Linked DNA regions of Canis lupus familiaris. The protein of the gene in region 1 interacts with the protein of each later gene in a pairwise test. Links are inferred from orthologs where the notes say so. Each region holds a gene or a part of one and is shown in the gene's direction. Other genes may lie near its edges. The genes, in order: LNX2, MAP2K5, LRRC8E, PTCD3, TUBB, PEG10 and PHYKPL.

The links.
Region 2: the proteins of LNX2 (region 1) and MAP2K5 interact in binary tests that used the Homo sapiens proteins (3 or more experiments, as listed by UniProt). The link is inferred for Canis lupus familiaris from reciprocal best matches to the Homo sapiens genes LNX2 and MAP2K5.
Region 3: the proteins of LNX2 (region 1) and LRRC8E interact in a two-hybrid assay, tested with the Homo sapiens proteins (3 studies listed by BioGRID and IntAct). The link is inferred for Canis lupus familiaris from reciprocal best matches to the Homo sapiens genes LNX2 and LRRC8E.
Region 4: the proteins of LNX2 (region 1) and PTCD3 interact in binary tests that used the Homo sapiens proteins (3 or more experiments, as listed by UniProt). The link is inferred for Canis lupus familiaris from reciprocal best matches to the Homo sapiens genes LNX2 and PTCD3.
Region 5: the proteins of LNX2 (region 1) and TUBB interact in a two-hybrid assay, tested with the Homo sapiens proteins (3 studies listed by BioGRID and IntAct). The link is inferred for Canis lupus familiaris from reciprocal best matches to the Homo sapiens genes LNX2 and TUBB.
Region 6: the proteins of LNX2 (region 1) and PEG10 interact in binary tests that used the Homo sapiens proteins (3 or more experiments, as listed by UniProt). The link is inferred for Canis lupus familiaris from reciprocal best matches to the Homo sapiens genes LNX2 and PEG10.
Region 7: the proteins of LNX2 (region 1) and PHYKPL interact in binary tests that used the Homo sapiens proteins (3 or more experiments, as listed by UniProt). The link is inferred for Canis lupus familiaris from reciprocal best matches to the Homo sapiens genes LNX2 and PHYKPL.

Annotation. Positions count from the first base shown.
Region 1 is NC_049246.1:12,118,941-12,123,566, forward strand, and holds part of LNX2 (ligand of Numb protein X 2), read left to right. Parts: intron 1-734; coding exon 735-1,103; exon of another isoform or gene 1,104-1,612; intron 1,613-2,397; exon of another isoform or gene 2,398-2,471; intron 2,472-2,879; exon of another isoform or gene 2,880-3,031; intron 3,032-4,626.
Region 2 is NC_049251.1:32,094,218-32,099,602, forward strand, and holds the start of MAP2K5 (dual specificity mitogen-activated protein kinase kinase 5), read left to right. Parts: upstream 1-2,199; 5' UTR 2,200-2,889; coding exon 2,890-3,024; intron 3,025-5,385. UniProt on the Homo sapiens protein: Acts as a scaffold for the formation of a ternary MAP3K2/MAP3K3-MAP3K5-MAPK7 signaling complex.
Region 3 is NC_049241.1:52,997,941-53,001,609, forward strand, and holds the end of LRRC8E (volume-regulated anion channel subunit LRRC8E), read left to right. Parts: coding exon 1-1,708; 3' UTR 1,709-2,728; downstream 2,729-3,669. UniProt on the Homo sapiens protein: Non-essential component of the volume-regulated anion channel (VRAC, also named VSOAC channel), an anion channel required to maintain a constant cell volume in response to extracellular or intracellular osmotic changes.
Region 4 is NC_049238.1:39,293,201-39,297,560, reverse strand, and holds the end of PTCD3 (pentatricopeptide repeat domain-containing protein 3, mitochondrial), read left to right. Parts: intron 1-322; coding exon 323-471; intron 472-1,319; exon of another isoform or gene 1,320-1,454; intron 1,455-1,755; coding exon 1,756-1,797; intron 1,798-2,351; coding exon 2,352-2,510; intron 2,511-2,785; coding exon 2,786-2,864; 3' UTR 2,865-3,387; downstream 3,388-4,360. UniProt on the Homo sapiens protein: Mitochondrial RNA-binding protein that has a role in mitochondrial translation.
Region 5 is NC_049233.1:653,672-656,858, forward strand, and holds the end of TUBB (tubulin beta chain), read left to right. Parts: coding exon 1-970; 3' UTR 971-1,976; downstream 1,977-3,187. Other genes in the region: FLOT1 (flotillin-1), read right to left, coding at 3,182-3,187. UniProt on the Homo sapiens protein: Tubulin is the major constituent of microtubules, a cylinder consisting of laterally associated linear protofilaments composed of alpha- and beta-tubulin heterodimers.
Region 6 is NC_049235.1:20,083,819-20,088,444, forward strand, and holds part of PEG10 (retrotransposon-derived protein PEG10), read left to right. Parts: intron 1-3,625; 5' UTR 3,626-3,746; coding exon 3,747-4,626.
Region 7 is NC_049232.1:3,617,589-3,622,214, forward strand, and holds part of PHYKPL (5-phosphohydroxy-L-lysine phospho-lyase), read left to right. Parts: intron 1-479; coding exon 480-634; intron 635-1,050; coding exon 1,051-1,140; intron 1,141-2,671; coding exon 2,672-2,802; intron 2,803-3,251; coding exon 3,252-3,301; 3' UTR 3,302-3,321; intron 3,322-4,066; exon of another isoform or gene 4,067-4,606; coding exon of another isoform or gene 4,607-4,626. Other genes in the region: HNRNPAB (heterogeneous nuclear ribonucleoprotein A/B), read right to left, coding at 4,607-4,626.

The DNA of each region.
Region 1 (4,626 bases):
ATTGTGCCAACCCCTTCCTCTAGCTAGGTGAATAATTGAAGCTGGGCATATTTTCTTAGTGATGTTAGTGTCCAAGGATTGCTCAGTCACTATACTCATTTCAGGATCATAAAGTTTAATAGAGAAATGTTCTGAGTGCACTGAGTTACGCATATTGTGTTAGATAAGCTATTACATTTAGTGCTAAACAATTAGAGTGAAACTGTAATTGTAAGTAAAAATCACTGATCTGAGATCAGGTTGTATACCTGGAATGTGTCCCTTTCCTTAAAATAAAACTCAGTGTATCTTTTCTAGCTTAAGTGTATTTCATTGGCAAAAGCCACTTCAATCCAGTAGTTCAGTTTCTGTTCTACTAGAACTAGTATTTCATTGGTACTTGCCATATACTGCTGTTGTCTGCATTCTCTTCCTGGTCCCATGAAGCAGAGAGTGAACCCATCTCACTGCTGATAGCACAAGGCAGAACCAAGGGCTCTGATTCAACTGTCACTGAAGCTTGTGATCCTAACTGCTGTTCTCTACTTAATGCTAGTCATTGTGAGTGAAGCTTAGAAGCTGTGTATTTTAAGACATCTTTGTAGTTGCAATTGTAATTTGTAAACTTTCTCTGTAAATAATGACTGTAAATCCTTTTCACAAAGTTAGTTTCTTTTAGAAATGGTAAATAAGCATTTCTACAAGTTGAAAAGATAGAAGATTATCACCCTTTGATCCTAATTCTTTTCTTCCAGGTCAACAACTGTAACATCAGCAATGTATCCCACAACTATGCCAGAGCCGTTCTCTCCCAGCCCTGCAGCACACTGCACCTCACTGTGCTGCGAGAGAGGCGCTTTGGGAACCGGACAAACAGCCACTCTGACAGTAGCTCTCCACGGGAAGACATCTTCCACGTGGTCCTTCACAAGCGGGACTCTGGTGAACAGCTCGGCATTAAACTTGTACGAAGGACCGATGAGCCAGGTGTTTTTATTCTTGACTTATTGGAAGGCGGACTGGCTGCACAGGATGGAAGGCTCAGCAGCAATGACCGAGTACTTGCCATCAATGGGCATGACCTGAAGCATGGGACCCCAGAGCTTGCCGCCCAGATCATTCAGGTACGCACCAGGTGTTCGTTTCCAATGCTCAGCCTTTATTACAGTTGATGTTTGTTTTCATAACATGAGAATCTAGGGGATATTTGCTATTTCATAGGGAAATCAAACATGGCTCCTCAAATCCTTCAAAATGCACAGTAGTATAACTTCATTACAGATAGGATCCTTTCTGGAAAACTGTATCCCTGTGAGTGTTTAGCCTTGCTCTTTATAGAGTGAAGGCCCTGTATTCTCACATAGGTTTCTCATTTGCTCCCTGGGCTCCACCTAGTCCCAGACATAAAAACGGGGGCGTCCACATTGAACGGTGAGAAAGGCGTAGCTGGAAGGAGCTGCCATTCCAAGGTTGTGACTTACTGGCTCTTGTAATTCCCCCTCTCTGCTTCAGCTCCATACAAGTGGAGAAAATAATTTTTTATTAAGAATAGCTCTTAATCTCCATAGTGCCTTTGTTTTAAAGCAGTCCAAAGCATTTCAAACACATCATAACTCGTATTCGTACAGTATCCCTGTAAAGTAAGTAAATTTATAATTAGAGAAAAAAAAACACTTTTTCAGTAAAAGCATTAAAATAAAGTAGAAAATCATCCAGAGCAGAACTTCTGGTTCTCTAACCCGCCACAGCATTTAATGATGAGGGTATTTCCTACATTGATAAGGGTGAAACAAAGATGTGTGGCTTTTTCTTTTTTTTCTTTCTTTCTTTCTTTTTTTTTTTTTTTTTTTTTTTTTAGGTAAGCACAAGGAAACCAAACATTAACATAATCAAGCATTAGGGATTAAAAAGTAGGTTAATAGTCACTGAGAAATATGTATGGCAGACAGAATCAAATAACAAGTTTTAAACTACTATGTAAGAAAACCCAAGTTTCAATCCCATTTAAATTTTTCACTTTTCACAAATTACTTTTCACAAATTTTTGGCTCATTACAACCATAAGAACACATGCACACACCAGGTAGCCGTATTGTATTAGGAAGGAGGTTCAGGCATTGATCCTGCATCACAGACTTGAGGTTTAAAAAAAATGGATATGGATACCTTCTAATATATATAATACCAAATATAATATATTGTTCAAGTTGTTTTTTTGTGAAAAAAATTAAATCTTACTGTTTTGGATTATAAAAATAATGTACTCTGTCAATAAAAGGAGACAAAACACAGAAAATAAAAAAGGAAGCTAAAGTCACATTCAGTCTAAACCCCTAAGATGTTTTGGAGAACATCATTATAAACGTTTTTCTGTACATGCCTGCAGATAAATAGGTACATATTTACATAGATACTTACATGTACACTCATCTTGCAAATTCTGAGTTTGCAGCCGTTTCTTCATGTCAGCAGTATGTTGTGGACTTCTTACCCTGAAAATAGACTCATCATGACATAGCTGTGTAGTAGGCATGTTGTACTAAAACTTATTTAATCATTCCCTTGTTAACAGACTTGAATGTTCTGTTTTCCAGTTTAAGACATTTTGCTAAACTTCCTCTAGAAAGTATATATATATACACACACACACACACACACACACACACACACACATATAGTATATAAACCAATATATACTCCCAACAGTAGTGCATGCCACTTTTTAATGAAATAGGTATTGTCATTTTGGCATCCTGCATTTTTAAAAATCTTGACTTTTAACAGAATTCTTTTGTTGTGTTTGAAACCCTGAAATGTTAGATGTGCCGTCTATTTAAAATTAGCCTAAACCCAAATGTTGGTCCATCGTTTAAACCCACATGCCCACTTCCATCACACACCAAGAATTTTGTCCTTTCAAAATGTCAGGAATGATCAGGGATTTGTTTCTGTTAATGGGTTTGCATAAACACAGGTCTTTCAGTAAAGCTGAATGACTGTATAGGGTATTTCGTAGTGGTGGTGGTGGTGGGTATTATGCAGTAAAGCAAACCATTCCATATACTGACATGAAATTACAAAGGGGCTTCTCACCCATCACTGTGTGATCTAATAATCTGAAGTGTCAGAATCTCAAATATCAGAATTCTACACATTCTACTTTGACAGTTACCCTTTAGATCAAGTCCCAGACTCTGGCCACCTGGGAAGTGTCACTCTTCATTTATTTTGAAGAATTGTCTGCAACTAGTTTAATGCAATGCTTGAATAAGCAGGTGATTTTTAATAGGGCTCAACTTGGTTATCACTCATTTCCCAACCTGAGAACTGAAGGTGAAGTGAATTCTTAACATTATTGACTAATTATGGGGGAGGGTCCTACTTTCCACTACAGCTTCTTAAAAGCAGGCTATCAGGGAATGCATGGTGGCTCGGTGGTTGAGCGTCTGCCTTTGGCTCAGGGTGTGATCCCGGAGTCCAGGGATCAAGTTCCAAATCGGGCTCCCCGGTGGGAGCCTGCTTCTCCCTCTGCCTATGTCGCTACCTCTCTCTGTGTGTCTCATGAATAAATAAATAAAATCTTTAAAAAAAAAAAAAAAAAAAAAGGTAGGCTGTCAGATTTTCCCGTAGGAATGATAGTAAACTTGGGAACTTGTGGTCACAACCAAGAATCAGCACTGCCTATGTTGCTACCTCTCTCTGTGTGTCTCATGAATAAATAAATAAAATCTTTAAAAAAAAAAAAAAAAAAGGTAGGCTGTCAGATTTTCCCGTAGGAATGATAGTAAACTTGGGAACTTGTGGTCACAACCAAGAATCAGCATCAAATAGATCAGGCCTGTACATTAAAGGCAAAGATAAAACAGCTTTAAAACATATAATAGATGTGAATCTCTGTTCAAAATCTAGATCTATAAATAAAGATAATGGACCTCTAAATTCAAGGTGAGAGTTGGAACCTCTAAAAAACTTAACCTAATGGGACACCTGGGTGGCTCAGTGTTTGAGTGTCTGCCTTCAGCTCAGGGTGTGATCCTGGGTCTGGGGATCAAATCCTGCATTGGGCTCCCCATAGGGAGTCTGCTTTTCCCTCTGCCTATGTCTCTGCCTCTCTCTGTGTTTCTTTAATGAATAATAAGTAAAATCTTTAAAAAAAAATTTACCTAACATTTATGTTTGCGCACGTGTGACATAATATACACATGCAGTGTACAATGGATATAAATACTAATCTTGTTTTATAGGATCTTTGTTATTATTCTTCTCAGGACTATGTAAGCTGATACCGTACTTTGACCCAAACTTATAACAAGCAGAAACAAAGCTGTATGTAGTTTCATTGATTATCACTCTCAAAATAGTCACCCTGGAATTTATTTCAGAAGTCACAAAGGATTCTAATCCAATTTTGAATCAGTTCTTCCTTTTACCTTCTTTCCTTTGCTCTCTTCCTCTCAATGCTGAGGCCAGTCTTGCATGGGAGAGTATGTAAAGAAAGTTAGTTACCCTTTAAGAAATCTTGGGAAGATAAGAACCCAGGCAGTTCTACTGTTTTGCCTTGGTTATGTCCTTGGTATTTCCAGGGCTGAAGAAAGGCCTACCCAAGAGGTCTGTGTGTGGATGTTTTAACTGCAGAAGTTTTAAAAT
Region 2 (5,385 bases), on another chromosome or scaffold:
TCTTAGTGTCTCTCATGAATAAATAAATAAAATCTTAAAAATAAATAAATAAATAAATAAATAAATAAATAATCAATCAATCAATCAATCAATCAATCAATCTTTTTGGAAAAAAAAGGGGCAGATGAATAGACAGTTCCCCAAAGAAGATATATAAGGCATATGAAAAGATTTATCAACTTCACTAATCACTAAGAAGATGCAAATTAAAAGCACAGTAAGATACTGCATAACATCCAACAGGATGGCTAATATAAAAAATACAGAAGATAACAAGTGTTGGTGAAGATGTGGAGAAATCAGAACACTCATGCATTGCTATTGGGAATGTAAAATGGTGCAGTCATTGCAGAAAACAGAATGGTGGTTCCTCAAAATATTAAAAATAGAATAGAATGACTATATGATCTAGCAATTCCACTTCTGGGTATATACCTATCCAGAAGAATTGAAAGTACAAATTGAGTTGGTTTTCCCCATAGTACAATGAATTAAAAAGCCATTTTAACAAATGATAGGTTCATAGAAAATCTCTAGTTTTGTGGTCTATTTTTTCAAACAATAGGAAATGAACTTTCAGTGAAAAGTACATGGGGACCTTAGGCACACTGTTTATTTTTCACTTGACTGAAGTGCCAGTGGAAAAAGGCAATTTCAGAATATCTGGAGCATCTGATTAAGTAAATTTCTACCTAAGCTATTAACTTACAATAACTACTGGTGTGCCCAAGAAACAATAGGCAGGTCGTGTGGGGGGTTTTACATCTACAAAGAGATAATTTATCTCATACTCGGACTTTCAAATTAAGTATTAAAAGAATCTCAGACAGGGAAAAATATGCACAAAATTTTTTGGTATTCTACTGAAACTAATCAACATTTAAATTCTTTTTTTTTTTCTTGTGTAAACTATCTGAATGTTAGGGCAGAAATTGTCCCTCCTCTCCCACCAAATTTATACAAAGTTCACTACCTGAAAGTAAAGCAACAGGTGCACATTAGCAGGGTATTATGGACAAACCCACAGGTTGAAATTTGTAAACAAACTTTTATTTAGGCACTACAGATGAACACAAGTTATGCACTTTAAAATCTGAGGTTAAGAAGGCATTTAAAAACAACCAAGGGTTATTCCTACTTCCCAAGATATCACCCAATAAGTCAACAATCCTATCTAGGATCTATCTGAAAATTTGGGGACTAGACTGGATACTTTCTGCAAGGATTTAATAAGAGAGAGAACATGAGGCCACTACTGCAGCTGTCCCTTGGCACTTACACTCTTCCCTGATTTTTTTTTTTTACTATTGCTCTTTTCTTTCTTCTTTCTTTTTTCTTTTCTTTCTTTTCTTTTTCTTTCTTTTCTTTCTTCTTTCTTTCTTTCTCTTTCTCTCTCTTTTCTTTCTTTTTCTTTCTTTCTCTCTCTTTTCTCTTCTTTCTTTCTTTCTTTCTTTCTTTCTTTTTCTCTTTCTTTCTTTTTTCTTTCATCTTAATCTATTTATTCACGAGAGACATAGGCGGAGGGAGAAGCAGGCTCCCTGCGGGGAACCCAATGGGGGACTCCATCCCAGGACCCCAGGATGACGCCCAGAAGGCAGATGCTCAACCACTGAGCCACCAGGTGGCTTTTGAACCTGTTTCCTGTTGCTTTTGAACGGAGGCTGTTTTCTATTTCAGGACAACAGCGGGGCAAAACAAACCGAAAAAAGAAAAAAAAAAAAATTCAATCCATGCACTGTTTGCTAATGTGAGAGGAAGACGATGACCTTCTCGTCTAAAAGCCAAGTACTTTTTGAGTTCCTGCCTGGCTGTTGCGGATTTGATGCACAAACCCCCTCAAGGTAAAGGGCTTAGCAAAGTTGGGATAAAGGTAAGGCTTCCGCAAACAATTTTAAGCACGCAATTTTAAGCCATCAACTGGCTTTGGGCGGACTGCAGCCCCAGTTCGGTTTCCTCCTCCGCTCGTTATATGGTTCAGCTGGCGGGGCTTTAACCAGGGTCACTCACGGGAGGGACCATCCTCCGCGCATCACCTGCGGTCCCGGGACCTGGACAGCGCAGCCCCGCCCCGAAGCCCCGCCCCCCGCGGAAGCCCCGCCCCCGCACTTCGCGAGCTCCGCTCAGGTCCCGCCCACCCGGGCGCGGGCGCGGGCGCGGGGGCGGGGCTGGCCGGGAGCTGCCCTTTTCCAACATGGCGCCGCGGGAGGCGGGTGCGTCTCGCCCGCTCCCGGGGGTTCCGGTGCCGTGCGTTTTGGTTCCGGAGTAACAGTGCCCTCCCCGTGCCTTCCTCCTCCTCCCGCCGCCGTTGCCGCCGGAACGTTCGGCCTGGGGCGGCCAGGGCTGATCCGGTGCGCGCCGCGCCCTGTGACTCGGAGGGGGGCCGAGGGGGGGAGCCCGATTCGCTCCGCGGCGCTCGGGCGGAAGGCCCTGGTCGGCTTCCGCCTGGTCTGGGGGCCCCCGGGGCTCCTTCCAGTCGGGGACCCTTCCCTTCCCTTCCCTTCCCTTCCCTCTGCGCCAAGGAGGAGCGGACACCTGCCGCTCTGCCTCCCTCCCGAAAGCGGGGTCATCTCCGCACGTCCACACAGACGCCAGGGAGCTTCACCAGCCCGTTTCGCGCTGTTTTCCAACTCCGCTAGTTCCTACCGGCCCCTGCCTCCTGCGCGGTGCACGCTCACAGGGAGGCAGCCCCGACCCCCTGCAGCCTGGGTCCGGCTCGGTGCCCGCGGGCTCCCCCAGACCACCCCTCCTCTTTGCACTCCCCCGACTCCCCGACCCTCTGTCCTCCCCCCCCCCGCACCCCTCCGTCCCCTGGTCGCCTCTTGGAGCCCCCGCTTGACCACGATCCAGTGGGTACCGCCCACCCCAGGATGTGAGCCCCCGGCACCTGTAATGCTGTGGCTCGCCCTTGGCCCCTTCCATGCCATGGAGAACCAGGTGCTGGTGATTCGTATCAAGATTCCAAATAGTGGCGCGGTGGACTGGACAGTGCACTCCGGGCCGCAGTTACTCTTCAGGGACGTGCTGGTGAGTGGCAACCGCAGGATCCAAATCCCATTGAGGAGGGCGCAGGGATTTGTGGGGTAGTCAGCACTTGGACCGCCGAATCTGAGCCTGCTGCACCCCCCCCCCCCCCCACCACCACCGAGCGAGTGGCAGTGGCCTTTGCTGGCTTCCTGTGGGGGCGGCTTTATTGCTTCAGCGACACACATTGATTAATTGCATGGACTGAAATCTGGCAATTGTGCAGGGAGGGCCTTGGGGACGGAGAGATGAATCAGATTGAACTCCTGCCCTCAAGGAGCTCACAGCCTGCACTGGGACATACACACATACACACACATTTGCAACCAACCGGCTGCAAAGAGCTGAGTCTAGAAGTACCCCCCCCCCCCCCCCCCCGTCCCCTGTCCCCCGCCCCCCCAAGTGTTTCTCGGAATGTCCTTGGCCAGATTCCAGCCATGCCTTTCTACTGAGTTCCCCGAACTTGGTTGGTGACCACTGGGGAAGGGAATCTAGGCTGCTTGAACCATGCTTCAGCAAACCTAAGGTGTCATTGGTTCTAAGACACTCTTTTATGTACTACTGAGAAAAAAATACTGCCTGTTAAACTGTCACCTGCTGCACAGAATGCAAAAGGAGCGCAATTTCAGATGATGCTAACCCTGGGGGGGGGGGGGGAGGGTGCATCTCAGAATCAAAGCTGTGTCATTACTTTCAGGGTACCGAGAACTTAGTTCAAATAAAGTCATGGAATGTGAGAGCGGAGTGTAACCTTGGCAGTGAGCGGCCTGTTGAGACCTCTGAACCTTTTTTGAGATAGTTACTGAGGAGTAGTGAAGACGGAATGGCTTTTCCAAAGCTGTGTTGCTCGTGAGTGCAAGAGTCCGTACCAGAACTCAGATTTGCTTACTTAGTGATTTTTCCCCACATGCTGCACTGTCATTTCTCATCTTTCAGCACACATTTGAGATAGCCGGAGTGCACTGTGCCCGTTTTAAGTATTGAATAATTGAGGTATGGAGAGGAGAACTGACATGCCCAGAAACATGTTGCAGGTACCAAATCTATGGTGGAACTTACCTACAAGATAAAATGGGGGTGGAGCAGAGATTCTTGTGGGGAGGAGGATCTGGGGTGTGATTTTTTTTTTTTTTTTTTTGGTTGCTGTATGTGACTCAATCAAAATTTGATTCCAATACCTACATTTTGAATTCTGGATATTACTGGCCCAGAACATCACAGATTTTCAGGTGTCTGGGCCAGGAGTCCAGAAGCTGGAGTGAGCCAGTAGCTTCTAGTAAGCCAACACCAAATATTGCCCTTCTCTTGGCATCTGGAGTCCATCCACACTCTCACATGCATATAGATTTCTTCTCTTGACAAGGCCCAAACTTTTTTTAACATGGTCCTCTAGGTCTATCTGGATTGGCTTGTGCCTGCCTGGCACCAGCTCAGTCTCTCACCACATCCCTGAGAACATTATGTGCTCCAGGTTCATAGAGCTAACCTTTGTCCCAGGCTGTCTGACCCCTTTCTTCAGCTGGCCAATTCCTACCTGTCGTTCAGAGCCCAGCTTCACTTTTCCTCTACCTTAGTCTTTTTTTTTTTTTTTAATTTTATTTATTTATTTATGAGAGACACACAGAGAGAAGCAGAGAGAGAAGCAAACTCTTTACAGGGAGCCCACTGTGGGACTTGATCCCAGCCCAGGACCCTGGATTCACTGCCAGAGCCGAAGGTAGATGCTCAACCATTGAGCCACCCGTGTGTCCCTCCTCTATCTTAGTCTTAATATGCCTCTCCTCTGTGTTCCCATAGCTCCGTTCCAGCAAAGCTAGCAGGTTTTGTCACAGTTTTGTCTATCTTCTCCACTAAATGGTAAACTTCTGGAGGAGATGGACGTTTCTGTCTCCTGTTTCTGGAGCTCCAAAGCATCTTGAAATATTTGTTCAAGCATTTCAAAAGGAGCTTCAAGGAAGATGCATGCAGTTAAGGTTTTGTGGACAGTCTGCTAGGTTTTGAATCTAGAAACATGGGTTTAATTGCAAGCAGTCTCACTAAGTAAGCAAGTCACTCTGTCTCTTTTAGCCTCAGTTTCCTTACTTGTAAAATTGGGACAATACCCGTCTTCAAGGCTTGCAAAGTTTAAGTGGGATCATGCCTGTGATGGAAAGATGTAAGCTTTCTTTGACTTTGCTCATTTGAAATAACAGAAGGTACTATTTAATGTAGAATGGTGCAGTGTTTAAAAATACAAGCTCTGGGCTAGACTACCTGGTTTGAATTGCAAAGCTTACCATACTCACTTTGGGGCAAGTGTATTCTAGGTCTCAGTTCGTTATCTGGAAAAAAAAAAAAAAAAAAAAGGAGTCAGGAATTAAAATA
Region 3 (3,669 bases), on another chromosome or scaffold:
TGAACAGGCCAAAGCCCTGTTTGAGAAGGTCAAGAAGTTCCGTGTGCATGTGGAGGAGGGGGACATCTTGTATACCATGTACATCCGGCAAACGGTGCTCAAGGTCTGCAAGTTCTTTGCCATCCTGGTCTACAACCTTGTCTACGTGGAGAAGATCAGTTTCCTGGTGGCCTGCAGGGTAGAGACGTCGGAGGTCACGGGCTACGCCAGCTTCTGCTGCAACCACACCAAGGCCCACCTCTTCTCCAAGCTGGCTTTCTGCTACATCTCCTTCGTGTGCGTCTATGGGCTAACCTGTCTCTACACGCTCTACTGGCTCTTCCATCGGCCCCTCAAGGAGTACTCCTTCCGTTCTGTGCGGGAGGAGACCGGCATGGGTGACATACCCGACGTCAAGAATGACTTTGCTTTCATGCTACATCTCATCGACCAGTATGACTCCCTCTACTCCAAGCGCTTCGCCGTCTTCCTCTCCGAAGTCAGCGAGAGCCGCCTGAAGCAGCTCAACCTGAACCACGAGTGGACGCCTGAGAAGCTGCGGCAGAAGCTGCAGCGCAACGCCCGGGGCCGGCTCGAGCTGGCCCTCTGCATGCTCCCGGGGCTGCCGGACACCGTCTTCGAGCTCAGCGAGGTGGAAGCCCTCCGGCTGGAGGCCATCTGTGATATCACCTTCCCCCCCGGCCTCTCGCAGCTGGTGCACCTGCAGGAGCTCAGCCTGCTCCACTCGCCTGCCAGGCTGCCCTTCTCGCTGCAGATCTTCCTGCGGGACCGCCTGAAGGTCATCTGCGTCAAGTGCGAGGAGCTCCGCGACGTGCCCCTGTGGGTGTTTGGGCTGCGTGGCCTGGAGGAGCTGCACCTCGAGGGGCTCTTCCCCCCGGAGCTGGCTCGGGCAGCGGCCCTAGAGAGCCTCCGGGAGCTGAAGCAGCTCAAGGCGCTGTCTCTGCGGAGCAATGCCAGCAAGGTGCCGGCCAGCGTGACTGACGTGGCCGGGCACCTGCAGCGGCTTAGTCTGCACAACGACGGGGCCCGCCTGCTGGCCCTGAACAGCCTTAAGAAGCTGGCGGCACTGCGGGAGCTGGAGCTGGTGGCCTGCGGGCTGGAGCGCATCCCCCATGCCATCTTCAGCCTGGGCGCGCTGCAGGAACTTGACCTCAGGGACAACCACCTGCGGTCCATTGAAGAGATCCTCAGCTTCCAGCACTGTCGCAAGCTGGTCACGCTCAAGCTGTGGCACAACCAGATCGCTTACGTCCCTGAGCACGTGCGCAAGCTCCGGGGCCTGGAGCAGCTCTACCTCAGCCACAACAAGCTGGAGACCCTGCCCACCCAGCTCGGCATGTGCTCCGGCCTCCGCCTGCTGGACATCTCCCACAATGGGCTACGCTCCCTGCCGCCCGAGCTGGGCCTCCTCCAGAACCTGCAGCACCTGGCTCTGTCCTACAATGCCCTGGAGGCCCTGCCTGATGAGCTCTTCTTCTGCCGGAAGCTGCGGACGTTGCTTCTGGGCTACAACCACCTGAGCCAGCTCTCGTCCCAGGTGGGGGCCCTCAGAGCCCTCAGCCGCCTGGAGCTCAAGGGCAACCGCTTGGAGGCACTACCAGAAGAGCTTGGCAACTGTGTGGGGCTCAAGAAAGTGGGGATCCTCGTAGAAGACACCCTTTACGAGGGCCTGCCGGCAGAGGTGCGGGAGAAACTGGAGGAGGAATGAAGCAAAGGTGGGGAAGGCTGGGTAGAGGCCTTCTGGATGCTTCCACTGCAGAATCTCTACTACTGTCTTCAAGAGAGGTGGCCAAGAGGGCCCAGGCCAGGAGAGAAGGAGCAGACGCATCAGCCACCATGGGTTCCAGGCAAGATCCTGGGACTGGTTTGTCTGAGAAGAGATGAGAGGCTGTGGATTTGGGGTGGAACGTCGTAGAGGGATTAACTCAGTCATAGGATTCTCAGACCCAAACCACACCTGCGTCTTTGGCTGGCTGTCCTGCCCACACCCTGGACATTCTGGCCTAGTTAGTGCCATATATGGGGTTGGGGCACATCCCAATGGGATTTCAGCCCTTTCCCCCACCCCTCAAAACACCTTATAGCTGGTGTTCTCTCCCAAGGAGGGGACACAGACACAAGGGACTAATGAGTGACCCTTGCCCCCAACTTTGATGCCAAATCCTTATTTATAAGTTGTTTGCTATGGACACGCAAAATCAGAAAAATGGTTCTCGTGTTTGGCTATGCATCAAAATCAACATCCCCAAAACAAAACATCCTGGGCCCCACCCCTGAAAGACTGACTCAGGTCTGGCTGGAGGCCAGGAACCTGCCTGCAAATACACATCCCAGGTAATTCTGATGCAGGTGGTCCTAGACCTGTGTGTTGGGAATTGCGGACCTACAGAATCTGCAAGTCCAGAGCAGGGATTCTGAACCCTTTCTAAGTCCTACACCTTTTGAACATCTGAGAAAAGCTGGGTGTTTCCTTTCCCAGGAAAATGCTCAGGTACACATACATGCAAAGTTCCGCAAGCAACTTTAGGCAGTCAGCAAATTCCCCCAGATTTCCCAGAGGGCCATTCACGGACATCCTAAGGATGGCAGACTCCAGTGTTAAGAATGCCTGCCGAGGAGGTTAAATTTTTCTGAGCAGAGGCAGGGATTTTGTCTTTCCAGTGTTTCCTGTGTGAGAGAGCATCTACCAGTGGGTGCTTAATAAATAATCTGAATTATGAGAACTAAACTTCCGATCTCTGGTATCCACTCCTGTTTGTCTAAGCCTTCCATTTCGCCAGACCAATAACAGGCAAGCAATGACACTCACATGGCGGAATCAAGGGTATGAGTTTCTGTCCTGGAAGCAGAGGCAGGAGAGACCTCGGCTTATCAGGCATCATCTGCGTAGCTATTTTTTGGAGAACTCTCTTTCTTCTCCATTCCTTATTATTCTCCGGACTCCACACTCTCGCATCTGTTCCACCCGCAAATTGTCACCACGGGAGTCCCCACAAGCCTTCCGCGCCCGCCAGTGTTCCCGTGCTGGACCAGGAGCAGGAAGGGCATAGGGCACAGCCTGCCTGACCTGGACCTCCCGGGCCTGGACACCTCAAGGAGTCTGAAAAAATGCGAGCCTCTTCCTCGCAACTGAGAGCAGACGCAAGCTGCTTTCCGAAATCCAGGATCCCAGATGGGGGCATTTTCCCGGGCGCCCACAGACCAGTTGAGCCGCGAGGAGACCAGGCTGAGGCGCCCTAACATCCAGGCCCATCTTCCGCACTGTCCAGGAGCTGGGCTCACATTCCGGGGTTGGGAAGATGAAAGTCCTAAAATACCCCATTTGAGGGGGCTGACCTGGAACTCTTCTGGCCCTGCCCCTCACCCTGTCCGGAGATCAGGGGTCATGCCCCTGGTCCTGGGGCCCCTCCAGTGACCGAGCCCTACCCTGCCCCTCCCGCCAGCCCTTGGCCAACCCCGAGTTTGCTGAAATAGAAAGGGCTCCCCACGGGCGCCTAATTATGGTGAAGAGACAGCAATTAAGCCTAACAGGGATCCTAATGAAGCACTGTCCCAGACGAGAAAGGCAGTGCTGGGAGAGCGTGGGTGCCAGAAAACAGGCCGGGAGGGGAAGAGCGAGAACGAAGCTGGGGAGGACACGCTGCAAGAGCTACTCCCAGCAACAGGGGC
Region 4 (4,360 bases), on another chromosome or scaffold:
CATATGTAGCAAGTAGCAGAATCCCGTTTCTAAAGTCCCTTTCATTCCTCAGGTCCAAAAGCAAGTTTCTTTCTGGCTTGACAGTAATAGCTTTTTGAAAAAAATCCTATCTAAAAGGAAAATCCATCTTGTATTTGAAAGATGTGGCCAGTTTGCAAATCACTTACCCCAGGCCAGGGCGCATTCTTCCTTGATTACTCGTCACTCCACATGTGAGTGGCAAACTGCATTGCTCTAAGATGTCAGTGCTTCTTTGGAGTCTCCTGAACCTGATTCTCATAAAACCAACCAGGCAGTTCTGCTGACTCTCAGAGCCTCTCAGCTTCAGGTGGCGTTTGCAGACTGTGCCGCAGATATCAAATCCACTTACGAGAGCCAGGATGCCAGACAGACTGCTCCTGATTGGCCAGCCAACTCTCTGAACTGTATAGCTGTCCTCTTTTTAAGGGCTGGGAGAACCCAGGAAGCCTGGTGAGTACAAAACCACAAGTGTAAATTAGAAGCATTTGTACTTGAATCTCAGAGAACATTTTGCCTGGTCACAAGTTTTCTAATTTGACTGTATAATGAGTTTTCTATGGGAACTGCAAGTGACAACTGAAAAGGAAACTTTTGGAAGACCAGTATGGTATATACATTGTATTTAAGAGATGACGCCATCTAGTGAGCTAATTCTCTTTCTGACCTGTTTTATATATTCATGGCCAAATAGTCACTTACCTGTTCACTTAACTGGAATGTTCAAAGAAAGTTATTTTTTAATATGTTTTGGGCATTTGACTTATCCATGTATTTCACTCAATGCTTAAAATGCAGGCTGTGCCCTTGGGACTTGTGGAAATTGGCATTTACAAACATGGCCTTGACTAAAACCATCTTTGTTTCACTGTATAGCTGTGTTAGGTGTTTTCATCAGCACCCCATTCACATACTAATTCTTAAGAATGTGTTTGTGAATGGAGCCCTTACATGCATTCCTTTTTCCAAAAGCAGAGAAGTTAACAAAAGAATACTTTGTAGGAGTAGTCCTGATAAGAGTGGTATGGCTGTATTTTGTTCTGGGTAGAAATATGTGTTCTAACAGTAAGTGGGGTACTTGTATATGGCATTTTCAACACAAAGTGTTGATTTGAACGGAGGATTGTCAGCCCAAAATGTGGCTGTTCACTATCTTGAGGAAAAAGCTGGTGAATGAAGGCATTGCCGCCTAAACTTGTCTTAGGAGTGTGAATCACACATATAGCCTGCTGCACTGCTGGTGACAAAAACCTTTGATGCTCAAATTTTTAAACTCCTGTTGACACACACTTGTTATGAATCAGGCTGTGATGATTGGCGCAGGGGTACGGACCTCAGCTGAGTCATGGGAGCTGAATGTATGTGTTTCTCCTTTGTCTTGCATGTGGCAGGATGCTGGGGAGCACTTACAGGAGACTTGCCTCAATCTGAGCCTGCTCTTCACAACGTAATTCTAGGATACTGATCTCATTCTGGGATTGTGAGAGAGGAAAGAGATCCCACTCAGTTGCATCCCTCTCTTCCAGCTACCCACAGGGTGTCGTCTTTTTTCCTGGGAGGACTGAAGTGATCCTCTAGAAGAGGATACACCACCCCCCCCACCACCCCCAATAATCCTCAACAGATTTGCTTGGGAAATTTGAAATGTACCTACATGAAGTTAGGAAAGAGGGAACTGAACCGCTACTATCTGCTCACCTTCTGTTTATTATCTTTCTTGTATCTCGTCTTGAACAGGAAAATGTTGGGGCTTTTCAGGAAGCACAATAAGATCCCTGGGTAAGTTGAAGTTAACAGGTCTGCCTCGGTATATCCAGGAAATAGGTGCATGGTTTTAACTCTTACCATGGGGTGATTGGGATTTTTTTTTTTTTTTTACATACTTTAGTCACAGTGATTGAGCATTCTTCTGCTAGGCAAATGGACAGTTGCTTCCACCATCTAGGGTATCCTAGATTAAGGAAGCACTGTGTTTAATCTGCTTGGTGATTGCAGCACACTGGGGATACATTCAACAGATCCTTAGTGAAGGCATACTGAACCAGTGTTCCTTATATTTCTTTGGCCCATTAAAGTTAGTCTTCTGGGCAGCCCAGGTTGCTCAGTGGTTTAGCGCCGCCTTCAGCCCAGGGCCTGATCCTAGAGACGCGGGATCGAGTCCTTCATTGGGCTCTCTGCATGAAGCCTGCTTCTCCCTCTGCCTGTGTCTCTGCCCCCCACCCCCTCTGTCTCTCAGGAATAAATAAATAAAATCTTTTAAAAATAAATAAGTAAATCTTTGAAGGGATTCAGGGGTTGTTGGGGAATGTTGACTTTTTGTCTTTCTTTTACAGAAATAAGTTGCTGAATGAGTTTATGGATTCTGCAAAAGCATCCAACAGTCCTGCCCAGGCCATTGAGGTAGTGAAGCTGGCAGGTGCCTTCAGCTTGCCTATTTGTGAAGGCCTCACCCAGAGAGTGATGGCTGACTTTGCAATCAGCCAGGAACAAAAGTAAGTCCTGAATGGATAACATAAAGTGATAAAAATGGAGCAGACCATTTGTCTACCCATTCAATGTTTATAGCTTTTTGCCTCCTGAATTTTTTTCTTTGCGAAAAATCAGGATGCATTAATTTAGTTAGTTATTTCATTTGTCACATACATCAGAGAGGCCTATAGTTTTGGCTCTTGAAACCTTTTCCCCTTTCATTATAGTTCAGTGCAGCTGCAGAGTCCCCTCCCACAAGACTGAAATGCAGTGTAACCCTCGTTTATTTTCCTTACAGGGAAGCCCTGGGAAACCTAACGTCACTGACCAGTGACAGCGACAGCGACAGTGACAGTGACATCAGTGAAGGCATATAAAAGTGGGTGAATCAGGAGCAGCTATGGCCTAGCATAGCTATTGTAATTACACTTGAGAATTGACATCTCTGTTCAACCATATTGTGAAGAGAACAAGAGAATTCAGACTTCAACTTTTAAGAACAATAGATACCAGAGGGACTACTTAAATTCCGAATTTGATACTTACTAAGCCACCCATTTAAACAGAAGCCGACCTACCATTTTCATTTCTTTGGACACAGCTCCTGGTTTCAGCATAAGCTTTGTACCTACAGTGTTTGTTGGCCAACTTCACTGTTGCCCTTTGTGGTTTGCCCTCCCATCATGGACTTGGCCTTCATTGGCTGATTTGCAACCTTAGAAAAGGACGTGTCTAAAGGAGGTTTGCACATGTATCTCCATTGATACTAGATCAGTATACCAATTTTAGGGATATTTAGAGGTGAGAAATTTGCCATTGTTTAATCATTTCTAGGATGCGGAGTTTTAAGCTACATGTATGGGAAAATGAGGGCTGTAAATAAACACTAGGTAATGTGCATTGAGCGCAATTTTTTTTTTTTTTTTTTTAGCGCACTTCTCTTACTTTGACATAGCCTGTTTCCCCTGAGCCCTGGGATTTCTACAAGTGCTTCATCTCCCTTGCTTCCCCCTTTTTTGCCATCACCTTTAGTTGTGCTCTACTGAAAGTGGTCTAAAGTGAGGACTGCTAATCAAGAATCTCTAGTCTGGTATTTCTCTTACCACCAGAACTTTGAAACAGTATTGGAAGTTAACAGGAACCTGCATGGTTTATTAGGACCATTCTTAACCCTTCACCAGGGCTTCCACAAGCTGCTTTTGCTCATACCTGGTCCCAGATTAACTGAGAGACCCCATGAGTTCCCCACAGATGAACAGCTTCAACCTTACCCTGCCAGGGTTGGCATTTATGAGCAATTTTGTACTGTTGTCTGTTCCGTTTACATTTTCCATCCATTCTATCTAGGCCTAGATCCATTCGTGCATCTTCAGAAATCTAAGTATTGGTTCATGTTGTGTCCTAGATTGTGTTTAAGACATTTAATTCAAGGACAAAGGGGGCAGGGAAATGACAGCAAATAACTACTTAAGCATTCATGTGCATTATTCCTTGACATATCAAAGTGAACAAAAGGACCATTAAGAAAGGTTAGCTTTGGGCAGCCCTGTGGCTCAGCGGTTTAGAGCTGCCTTCAGCCCAGGGCCAGACCCTGGGGACCCGGGATCGAGTCCTGAGTTGGGCTCCCTGAATGGAGCCTGCTTCTCCCTCTGCCTGTGTCTCTGCCTCTCCCTCTCTCTCTGTGGATCTCTCATGATTAAATAAAGATCTTTTAATAAATAAAAGAAAGGTTAGCCTTTGATTTTGGTTTACAACTTCCAGGGAGAACCTGGCTTCCTGGAGGCTTCTCTTCTCTGTGCTCCTTCCCATCTCACCTATACATGCCTCGCTCTCTTGGCCAAGTACTCACTCACTGCAATCCCTACAAATGTGT
Region 5 (3,187 bases), on another chromosome or scaffold:
GGAAGCTGAGAGCTGTGACTGCCTGCAGGGCTTCCAGCTGACCCACTCACTGGGTGGGGGCACAGGCTCTGGCATGGGCACGCTGCTCATCAGCAAGATCCGAGAAGAGTACCCTGACCGCATCATGAACACCTTCAGTGTGGTGCCCTCCCCCAAAGTGTCTGACACGGTGGTTGAGCCCTACAATGCCACTCTCTCTGTCCATCAGTTGGTAGAGAACACGGATGAGACCTATTGCATTGACAATGAGGCCCTGTACGACATCTGCTTCCGCACCCTCAAGCTGACCACGCCAACCTATGGGGACCTCAACCACCTTGTCTCAGCCACCATGAGTGGTGTCACCACCTGCCTCCGCTTCCCTGGTCAGCTCAATGCTGACCTCCGCAAGCTGGCAGTCAACATGGTGCCCTTCCCACGTCTCCATTTCTTCATGCCTGGCTTTGCACCTCTAACCAGCCGTGGAAGCCAGCAGTATCGGGCCCTCACTGTACCTGAACTCACCCAGCAGGTCTTTGATGCCAAGAACATGATGGCTGCCTGTGACCCCCGCCATGGCCGTTACCTCACTGTGGCTGCTGTCTTCCGTGGGCGGATGTCCATGAAGGAGGTAGATGAGCAGATGCTCAACGTGCAAAACAAGAATAGTAGCTACTTTGTGGAATGGATCCCCAACAATGTCAAGACCGCTGTCTGCGATATCCCGCCCCGTGGCCTCAAGATGGCAGTCACCTTCATTGGAAATAGCACAGCCATCCAGGAGCTTTTCAAGCGCATCTCAGAGCAGTTCACAGCCATGTTCCGGCGCAAAGCCTTCCTCCACTGGTACACAGGTGAAGGCATGGACGAGATGGAGTTCACCGAAGCTGAGAGCAACATGAACGACCTTGTCTCTGAGTATCAGCAGTACCAGGATGCCACCGCAGAAGAAGAAGAGGATTTCGGTGAGGAGGCTGAAGAGGAGGCTTAAGGCAGAGTACCATCACCTTAGGCTTCTCCATTCCCTCTTCCTCAGCTGCCCCTATCCTCTCCCTCAGAATTTGCATTCTCTGCCTCTTATTTTTTTTTCCCTTTTTTTTGGGGGGGGGGGTCCTAGAACAGTGCCTGGCACGTAATAGGCGCTCAATAAATACTTGTTGTTTGTTGAATGTCTCCTCTCTTCCACTCTGGGAAACCTAGATTTCTGCTGTTCTGGGTCACCCTGTATTTTCTTTTGGTGTCCATTTTCCCGTTTGTGCAGTTGATATTTCCCTTTGTTTTTTAAGGTGATTCACTGAGAAGCTGGGTCTCATTAGATCCCATTTAGAACATGTGCTGAAAACATCGCCACCATCCTAAGCCCATGTGGTAGCCCAGGGGAAAGGAAACCAAGCTACCTCATAGCAGTAGAGGTACATATCGAGAAGGTAGGGTTTTCTATTCTAGAGCAGTTTTAGAGAGGGAAATCCAGGCTCTTGAAGTCCAAATCCAGGAATCTTCCTGCTCTCAGCTTCAGGGGAGATGTTGACAGTATTGTCTATTTTTAGTCTTCTTCCAAGCTCTGTCCTGAGCTGTTTCTTTTGAGGGGTCTGTGCCACTTTGTTGAGTGGGATCCTTCCCTCCTACATAAACTGCTTCACGTGTTCGATTTCTTCCTTTTCCCAGGGGAAAGAGGGACTGGCCTTGATCCCTAAAGTCTGGAAAGGCCCCCTCCCACTCCCCACTTTTTCTTAACAAAACTCCAGCTCTACTGTGTACATATAGAAAAGTGTGTATTGCCACCTAAATCATTTGAGTCATTCTTCCAGAGGGGACAAGGAGACCCTCCACCTTTTGGCAACACCTCAGCTCTTCCTTCTGCTATTCCCTTTCCCCACACACCCTTGATTTTTGTCCTGTCCTACATTTCAAATTTCTACTTTGTGTTGAACTTGCTTTTTTTCATATTGAAAAGATACCATTGCCCCAAAAGCCAAAAATAAAAAAACTGAAAAAAAGTTGCGAGATGTGTGCTCATTTAGGGAAAGATTGCCATTGGACAACCTGAGGCTCAAGTTCAGCTACGCTTATACTCTGCTCTTAATAAACTGATGAGAATATCCTTGTACTTAACCTTATCCTGGTAGAACTATTTCACCATCCTCACTACCAGTCTCAATAACTAGGATAGGCATAGACTCCTACAGGATTGACAGAAATGGGAACTGAGATGAATGTTGAATAGTGCGTAAGTGGCTCCCAGATGAATAGCCTCTTGGGAACTTGTGTAGAAATGCAGATCACCAGGCCTACCCAGATGTACTGAACCAGAAACCAGCTGACTAGTAATCTGTTTAGCAGTACTCCAGGAGAATCTTGTGAATGCAGAGTTGAACGCTATTATTGCACTACTTTCAGTGCACAGCACATCCAGGATTCATTTGAGTTATGGGTCTTGCTTTTTTCTCTTACACCTTGGCAATTTTCTCATTTAACTCCAGGGAAAGATAAAGATAACTAGTGAGGGATGCTACTCCATGGTCCTATTCTAAAGTACTGTTTCACCAAATAAATATACTTTTCTAAGGCACAAAATAAGTCAGCTACCCTGGAAATTTAAGTCCATGTAATTTTCCTTCCAATTAATAAAGGGAACTAGTGCAGTTCTCCCAATTTCTTCCATTTTAGCATGCTTTTTTGCGTATTACCAACTTTTGCCAAAGAAAATTGTATGACGTTAACTACGTGTTAACTTGCTTTTCTCCCATTCTAAAAAGTGTTGAATGAAGGGAAGATGCTACGTTCCAGTATTAACTTTGAATCAGTTCTGCTTTATTAAGTTAATTATTAATCAGTATCAGTACTTTGTAACAGCAACTCATTTGATAAAGTTGAGAACCTCCAGGCGATCCCTCAGTTTTGGTCAGGAAAATTCTAGACCATAAATGTATACAGTCCAGTTAGAAAGTTAAATTGCAGGGTGCGGGGTGAGTAGGATAATCAGAAGGCTGGCATGAAACCCGTGGGGGACTGGGTAGTCTTAGCAGTGTGGGGCTGGGAAGAAGAGCAACCCCTCCTCTCCAAGGCAAGGCACAAGCTATTTGGCAAGGAGATGAGGGGTGGAACCCCATTGTCAAGGGTGTGCTCAGAGAAGCCAGTTGTGCATGCAGTATGGGGACCATTCTGGCAACCATGAAGCAAGGCATCGGCAAAGGTTGAGGGCTCAAGC
Region 6 (4,626 bases), on another chromosome or scaffold:
TCATTAAATATATGTTAAATGACCAGTGTGAATTGGCTGATTCAGTGCCTTCTTTGGTGTCTGCAGGTGTTTTCTGGTTTTTTTCCCCCTGGTGCTTTGCTGTCCAGGATTGTCTAAGGCATTGCTTGCCTTATCTCTCACTTAACTGGATCCTTTAAAAAAAAAAAAAAAAAAATTTAAACTCTAATAATGTAAGCTGTAATTATAATACAAAACTATACATATTTAAGATATTCAAAATAGCTTTTTAAAAGTAAAAACAAGCTAATTGGCTATTTAAATTCAGGGTGAGTGGACTACTTCACAATGGTACATAATTGTCATATTTACATTTTGTATAATGTAACATAAAGTGGTTACATTAAAAAATAGATTGGAGGGTTTTAGCTGGCATTATAAAACATACACATAAAACATCTGATGCCTTACCTCCAGTCAGATGTACCATGTTTATGTTTCTAATAAAATGAAGAAATTTTAAAACCTGGTTTCATATATTGTAAGCCATAAGCCAGGACTCTGACTCCCAAATATCTGTCACCCACCCCCTAATAAATATGCAATTTACATATCTTTATGTATTTATACTTGTGGTAATTACAGCTTTCAGTTAATCCCCAGCCCCCCCCCCCCCCCCCCCCCCCCGTCACCCTACCCCCACTTCCTTTCGAAATTCTATGTTTTTTTTAAAGTTCAAAACAATGGTAAAAATATGCATATTAATATAATTTGCATTTCACAAATAGTATACATGGTACTAAAAAAGAAATTGGGACATTTGAAAATATAAAGCAATTAAGAGTTGCTTAATGAAGTGTCATTTTCTAATGAGATGTTTAATGTGCAGTGTTTTTTGGCTACTGTTACTTTTTGGTGTGTTTGGGGAACAAGTTTTTAGAAGTCTTCAAGAAGAGTCAAAGGTCAATCAAATGTATTTAATTCCTATATAGACTAACACTGGATTCTTTTTCATGTGTAAAGGTGACATCTATCCCATGTGACTTGGCTCAGTACTGTGTGTCATTTCAGGTTTTAGGAATGGGGCCTTTGGGCCTGACCTCCACAATCCAGCCCCTAGTAAGGGGTGGGAGGTGCAAATCAAGTCACAGTGCTCCTGTTCCCAAATTAACTGGTGCTCTAGTTGCTATTTAAATATCTTTAAGCTTTATTTACATTGAATGTTAACCTGCCTGCCGACTATCCTATGTTTTTTAAAGGTTACACTACTCTTCTCTGGGCAGTTATCTCCTTTAGGATTTAGAATCCCACACCAAAATTAAAAATCCCAGGGGTGGGTACCTGATGCCTGATCTTGGTAAAGGTCAGGGGTCTCACACTGGTGACCTTGCAAGTCAAATAAGGCCCTTAATTTATTTGACCAGCACTGGATTAAAAATATTTTAAAGAATTGAATGTTTCTGGGGAGGGGACATGCATCCCTAAATTACATAGTCACCAGCCCACTCCTTATTGTCTTAACTCCAGTTTCTTCTCACTTTTATGTTACCTTCCTGTCTACTAAAATCATTTGCATTTTAAGCCCTTATTGATCTTTTGATTCCTTAAACAATATACAATGATTGTTTGCTGATTTCTGAATGTGTTGTTATATCTGTCCTATTATTATGTTTTGCAGATATTAAAACCATGAGACTGGAACCTCAGTAAAGCTCCCCCCAATGACTGTGATTGACATGTGGGTTGTTAACCTTCCTGACCTGGGTCAGGCAACGCCAGGCCGAGCTATGAAGGCCTTTCCAGAAGTTTTCTAAGTTTTCTAAGTATTAATGTCTAGATACAGAAGTGGCACTTGAGTCACCTGACTTGTGTTTATTGTTTTTTAATGGGACATTAAAGCTTTTAATTTAAAAAAATAAAGATTTTAATTTAATAAATCAAAATCACACTATTTTGTGACTAATCCAGGGCCTCATTTTTTTTTCTTGTACCCTATTGATTGAAATATTAGCTATTTTTCACATAACTTCTTTGAATAACACATTTATCTTTGTGGGCTTTAATTAATATAATTAATTTAGTGTCCATTATTGCCTTGATGGGTCAGAGAAGAACAGGTGACCAGGAATGCCAAGTTAAAATTTAGTGAATGGGCAGTCTGCCTGCTTTTACAAATTATGGTTTTAAACTTTTGAGCGCTTTCCTAAAGTTTTCCAAATATGAGAACTTAATGCTCATTTAAAAATTATAAAAAGTTAAAATTAAGTTACTATAAATGCATTTAACCCTCATTTTAGGAAGTACATAAACACTGCTGGATTTATTGTATGTGTGATTTATTGTCACCATACCCATAATTAAGACCTTAATCCCCCAAACCCCCAATGCCCCCCATGTTGCTACTCACCACCTAGGAGTACAGCCCTATCCTGCTCTAAATTATAAACTTTTGGGTGGGACTGTGCTGACAAATCTTGTTTAAAAACCAGAAGTTGGAAACTGGTGACCTGCAAATCAAATGAGGCCCTGGATTTGTTTGGCCAACAGCGTATTCCCCCCTCCCCCCCCCCCCAAAAAAAGTAATGTCTTTAGGTGGGAAATGCCTGCCTAGGTTGCCATAGTTGCAGGCCCTCCCTGTTTTAATCTTAGCCTCTTTACACAGAAAGTTACCTTTCTTATTAATATCAGCTAACAGTTGTTAAGTATTCACTGCTTTACCTGCATTACCTAATTAAATCCATACTGTAAATTTGAGGTATTCTCTTTTTGGGCTTTTTTGACTGTCCCATTTAATAGCCTAGCTCTTCCTAGGAGGCATCAATTAACATTTGTTGATGAACTGCATAATAAGGAGAGAGGCTGATACACAACGTTGCTGCTCGGTGCCACTTCTGTCCCGAAGGGAATTCTCTCTGGGAAATCAGATTATGTTGGATTTAGACAATCTTGTGGGTTTCGTGACCGTTGTTGTTGTTGTTGTTGTTTGTTTTGATAATCAGTTAGTGACCTTCACCATGGAGGTAGTGCCCTCTTCCCTCCCCCGGCTGATGAATACAGGCAGTGTGATTTAAATCCCCCACCCTTCTTTTTGGTTCCCTATTGGCTGGATTATTAGCTCTTTTTCAGGTAACCCGTCTAATAACAATTATCATTTTGGCTTTGTGTTTTTAATTTGGTCTCCATCTTTGACTTGAAAGTTTCTTGCTGTGCCCTCCTGATCCAAACTGGTATTTTGGAATGTCTCCGCATTCTTTTACGGTCAGTGAAGGTAAACTTGCTGTTGATACCGGTATGCATTGTTGTTGAATCATAATAGGTGACATTTGATGAGGAAAAAGGTCATTTGGACGTTAAAAAGTAGGGTGCTTTTTGTTACTACCTATTGTCTTAATTGATTATTAACTTGTTTCTCCCTTTTGCAAGATCTGTGTTTGTTTATTAAATATTAATGTAAGCAAGTAGAGCAAAGAGATACTTTAAATACTCATGTATTTAAAGTATTTTAGTGGATACTTTAAATACTCATGTATTTAAAGTATTTTAATGGCTACTTTAAATACTCACGTATTTAAGGTACTTTAGTGGCTACTTTAGATGCTAAAATCTTTTTTGTAGTGTGCTGCTTTGAACGTGGATGATAAACTTCTGCTTTTATCTTCCTTTACAGAAACAAAAAGCTTTTGAAAACAAAACGAAGAAAGGGTGGAAGAGGAGGCCAGGATCAGGGCCTCCATCCCCACAGGAGCGAAGCTACACCTGGGAGGTCTCCTCCCACGCCAACCCTCACCCTGGGGCCCGACTGCCCACCTCCTCCTCCTCCTCCTCCCCCCAACGGCCCCTCCTCCTCCTCTTCCTCCTGCTCCTCCTCCTCTTCCTCTTCTTCATCCTCACGCAGCGCCCCAAGGGGCCAGTACATCCCCAACCTGGCCGAACGAAGGCGAGACGATCTCTCTGAAGAGATCAACAACCTCCGAGAGAAGGTCATGAAGCAGTCCGAGGAGAACAACAACCTGCAGAACCAGGTGCAGAAGCTCACAGAGGAGAACACCTCCCTGCGCGAGCAAGTGGAGCCCGCCCCTCAGGACGAGGAGGACGACCTGGAGCTCCGAGGTGCTGCAGCCGCCGCTGCCCCACCCACTCCGCTAGAGGAGGAGTGCCCGGACGACCTTCCTGAGAAGTTTGACGGCAACCCCGACATGCTGGTCCCGTTCATGGCCCAGTGCCAGCTCTTCATGGAAAAGAGCACCAGAGATTTCTCCGTCGACCGCGTCCGCGTCTGCTTCGTGACCAGCATGATGACGGGCCGTGCCGCCCGCTGGGCCTCCGCCAAGCTGGAGCGATCCCACTACCTGATGCACAACTACCCCGCCTTCATGACCGAAATGAAGCACGTCTTTGAAGACCCGCAGAGGCGGGAGGCTGCCAAGCGCAAGATCCGACGTCTGCGCCAAGGCATGGGGTCGGTCATCGACTACTCCAACGCCTTCCAGATGATCGCCCAGGACCTGGATTGGAACGAGCCCGCGCTGATCGACCAGTACCACGAGGGCCTCAGCGACCACATCCAGGCCGAGCTGTCGCGCCTCGAGGTCGCCAAGTCGCTGTCCGCCCTGATCGGCCAGTGCATCCACATCGAGCGGCGGCTGGCCAGGGCGGCGGCGGCTCGCA
Region 7 (4,626 bases), on another chromosome or scaffold:
ATGTTCTGTGCCCTAAAATATGCCCTGAGCTAAAACTATAAAGCCTTGAGTCAAATTACACAGAGTGGCTTTTCCTGGGTGCGGCTCTGGCATGTTGCTCTTGACCCCCTTTTTAAGGTGATGGAGGCTAGTCTGATGCTTTGGGTCTAGGCCCAACCTGTGAGATGGGGCTTCCTAAAGCCTCTCAACAAAAATGCACAGCACACCTCTTCTGATTTGGTCTCTTGGGGCTCCTCTTGTACCCCTGGGGGTACCTTACCTGAGTTACAGTCACATTAGCACCGGAAAAAAAATAAGAGGACAGCCCACAGGGGCTTCAGGAGAACCCTGTCTACCCCCAAATTACTGAGTTCTGAGGGGTGCAGGCCTGTGCTTGTCGCTGCCCTCAGAATGCGTGTGGCAGTTCTGCTGCCTTTATGCTCCCTGGAGCGTGGCCTGCTTTTCCAGGCATCTGACATGCGCTTTGTCCCCTGGCTCAGTTTGGGGGCAGCCCTGTATCCTGTGCTGTAGGCCTGGCCGTCCTAGATGTTCTGGAGAAGGAGCAGCTGCAGGCTCATGCCGCCTCTGTGGGCAGCTACTTGATGGAGCTCCTCGAGGAGCAGAAAGCCAAACATCCGATCATCGGGGACGTCAGGTGAGACTGGGGCAGCAGTTATTACCCACTGATTAAGCACCTGCCAGCAGCCAAGTGCGGTTTCTCCTGTGACCTCCTAAGCACCTGGGTTGGTGGGGACTTGCATCTTCAGAGGAGGAACTAAAGCACTGAGGTGCGCTCTGGCCCAAGATGACACTTCTAGGGAAGGGAAAACCAGGGTCAGACTTGGCTCTGACCCCCAACCTTTCCTCGGTCACACCTGGGGCCCTTCCCCTTGCAGTTACTCCCTGGGACTAGGTCACCACCATCTGAGGGTTCTATGGCTCTCAGCCTGCCCAGGAAGCAGAGAACAAGCCCTGGTGCTTCCCACAGGCCCAGGCAGAGGAGGAGAGCAAGGACCAGGGTCCACCCCCACCAGGCCTAGTCTCCTCTAAGATGTCACCTTTCTGCTCTAGGGGCACTGGGCTCTTTATTGGTGTGGATCTGATCAAAGACGAGGCAACCAGGACGCCAGCAACTGAAGAGGCAAACTATGTGGTGTCCAGGTATTCTTGGTGACCTTCACAGCATCTAGGACCCTGACTGGGAAAGAACCTCCTTCCTGCTTCTGCTCTTGTCACCGTGTTCTTGGGCACTCAGGGCTCACAGAGGGCTTGCCTGAAGGAGCTGACATCGGCCTGAGCAGGAAGGGGGCACCCATCTGTGCATCACTCAGCTCCAGACAGGAAGAGCAGCCCGGTCAGCTCCGTGGCCTGTGCCCTGCGCCAAAGGCTTCTGATGGGTGCAGGCTATTCTCGGCCAAGGATGCCAAAGCCACAGGGGCTCTCAGACCCAAAAGCCATATTTTCACGTTCCCCAGGTGCCCAAGGGGAAGCAGCTTTTCCAGTCACACCAGGGGCTGTGGCAGAGCCAGACTGGGGGGTCCCCGATCCCAGAGCAGCGGGTTTTTGGGATGGACAGGCCTCCTGCTCATCTAGGTGGAAGGCTTCTAGATGACTGGGACCTCCAGACTCCAAAATCCCCAGCCCCAGCCTGCGTGTTCCCTGGATCCAAGGCAGGAGCTGAACCTGGGGAAACCCTCCTCCTGGTGTCTGATTGTGTCCTTATTCCAATTGCAAAACACATCATTCTGTTTTGAGATCATGTGAACAGAAACAATGTAAAAATGTTCTTGGGATTTTTGACACAAGACCCCTCCTGTATTCGGCCGAGCCCTGCCTCTGCGGGCAGGTACACCTACTGCCTCCCCCCAGGGAGCCTCAGGACTGGAATCAATGGGATCAGAGGGAAGGAGGGAGCCAGTCATGAGGCCCAGCCTGACTCCCACCTCATACCCACCCTGAGTTTAGTGCCATCAGTGAGACTAGACCAGGGGCAGGTGTGGCACCTGCGGCTGCCCTGCTTGCTGGTGGCAGGGCTGGATTAAGGTCCAGATATTGTTCTTTCTAGGACCACAGTCCATGCCAGGAAGAATGGTATGGGAGAAAGGAGCCAGCCTGACAAGCTTAAACAAAAAAAGGAATAAGAGATTGGAAGTGGTGTCAGAATGTAAATAGAATCACGTCAGACCTCTTTTCTCTGGCCCAATAACCTCCCTAGGTTAAAGCATCAATGTGGAATGTTAACATTTTCAGGTACCAGTTATGTTGAGGGTTAAGTCCTCGTTCCTAAAAAGAACCGGAAATTAAAACTGGAGAGTCCTTTGGGATTTCAAAGATTACTTCTGGACAAGAAGCAGAAACAGGGTTGGCCAAGGAAGTTAACTGAAGCTAGTGAGGGGGACGTGGGGTTCAGCATACCAGCTTAGAAGTGCTGCTGATGTGCAGGAATGCTTACTGTCCACGCTGTAGGCTAGGGCTGGTCCTGGCTCAGGCTGGGGCTCCAGGGATGGAGCAGCATGCTGAGGGCCAGGTACAGGGCACCCCAAAGGACCAGCAGGTGGGAATGGGGGTGAGCCAGTGGTGGAGGGTAGTACCTGGTCTGCCATGGGGCCCCCAGGCCAGAGTAGCTAGAGCTGGGGCCTGGAAAGGCTCCCTGGCTGGTGGGCAGCAGGGCCTCACCACTTCCTTTCCTCAGACTGAAAGACTACTACATTTTGCTGAGCACTGATGGTCCTGGGAGGAACGTCCTCAAGTTTAAACCTCCAATGTGCTTCAGTGTGGACAACGCACAGCACGTGGTGGCAAAAATGGATGCCATCCTGACAGGTGAGGGGGTGGGGAGCAAGGAGCAGCTGACTATGTCCGTAGAGCCTGCCTGCAGCCAGGATATAGGACGTTCCAGGGTGCTAGCCAGGAGTCTTCCAGGCGGTGCAGGAACAGGGAGCTGGTGGGGGGGGGGGGGGGGGGGGGCCCTGGGGCCCAGGCCTGCACTCACCTCACAGACTTCCTGAGCACCGAGCAGGCAGGCATGCAGGAAGGCACTAGCCGTCCTGAGTGGTACTGTGGATGCAGGGCAAGGGAACCAGAGCTCGGGTGAAAGACCCCACTGTCATGAGTGAAGCCATGTAGACAGAGATGGCAGGACCTTTGTGCCTCACTTGAAGGCTGGGGTCTCCCTCAGGCACTGAGCTGCTGGGATGAGAGTTGCACCCAGCTGATGAAAGGACACTGGAGAATTGCTAACCCTTTTTGGGTGACTTTATGCTGTTTTTCAGACATGGAAGAAAAGATGAGAAGTTGTGAGACGCTGAGGCTCCGGCCCTGAGGCATCCTGTCCTCCCCTGGGTGAGTGGATCTTATTCCTCATAACCCACACAACTGGGGACCGCACCATTAACAGCAGGGGCTCCTTCCCTCAAGCAAGCCAAACCTTGCTCTTAACCAGGTTATCTCCAGCCACCCCCCAGAAAAATCTCCATGATGCATTTTATAGTGGACAGCAGAGGGCAGGAATAGCACCTGCCTTGAGCCAGTTCTTTCCTCTGAGGTGATGGGAAACATTCTCTGCCAGGCTTCATCCACTGCTGCCTCTTGCCACCAGGTCTCCTGAGGCCTCAACCACCAGCCCCATGGGTGCTCCCATCCAGTCAGCAGCTAGGCCCTGCCAAAGGGGGCTAGGCTGTGCTCCAGGAAAGGACGCTGTCCAAATGCAGCTGGCTCCTAGGACATGGCCTCCATCTATAGGTTCAGTCCTTGCTGGGAGACCAAATACCCATTTCTACCAACAAGTACAGACAGAACTTTGCAGGTGTCCCAGAATGTTCCCCACTGCCCTGGGGGGGAACACCCTCCTTCATTGGCCCCAACCACACTACTCTTGAAGAGGCCTGTGGTCCTGGAGTTTAACTTTCTCTAAAAGGGTGAGTCCTGAGTAGGACCAAATCCTCAAAAGAAGCTAACCAGCAGTTCTGAGAGTGCAGCTCTGCCTGACAGGACTGCTGTCTGGTCATGGAGGGTACTAAAGCTTTGAAGGCTCGGGAGCACCTAGCCCTTCCCCGCTCTTCACAGGATACCCCACACTCACCCAGGCTTTGGGGGTTTTTAAATTTTTATTTCAAAAGCTTGGATAGCTTCAATATCCAGGTCGTGGCAAAATCAGGACACGTGTAAAATACCTTACAATACATTAGATTCCCAAAAGGTACCAAAAAGTACAGTAAAATTAACACTTCCATTAACAGGAAATGTATGACACAAATAATATAAAATTAAAAGGTGAAAAAAAGGTGACACTGGTTTTCTAGGATACAGTTTACTCTTTACAACCAGGGTCCACAGGTCCAGGCTGCAGCGGGGCAGCAGGAAGCAGACCCTCCAATCTGGCTCTGGGAACCCGAGAATAAAATCAGCCCATAATGCCGCTCTGGCCTCAGAGACCCCACACGCTGCCTACAAACTAGAGCTCTGGAAATAGTCAACAGGAGATTGATTTCCAGGGGGGAGATTTAAATAAGATGCACATGGGACAGGCCATAGAAAGTATGCCAAGTTAAATTTGGTACATAATTGTGTTCACTCGATATCCAAACAAAGCGTGTGCGATCAGTCGGGCATCCTGCTGAATGAAGCCTCAGTATGGCTTGTAGTTAT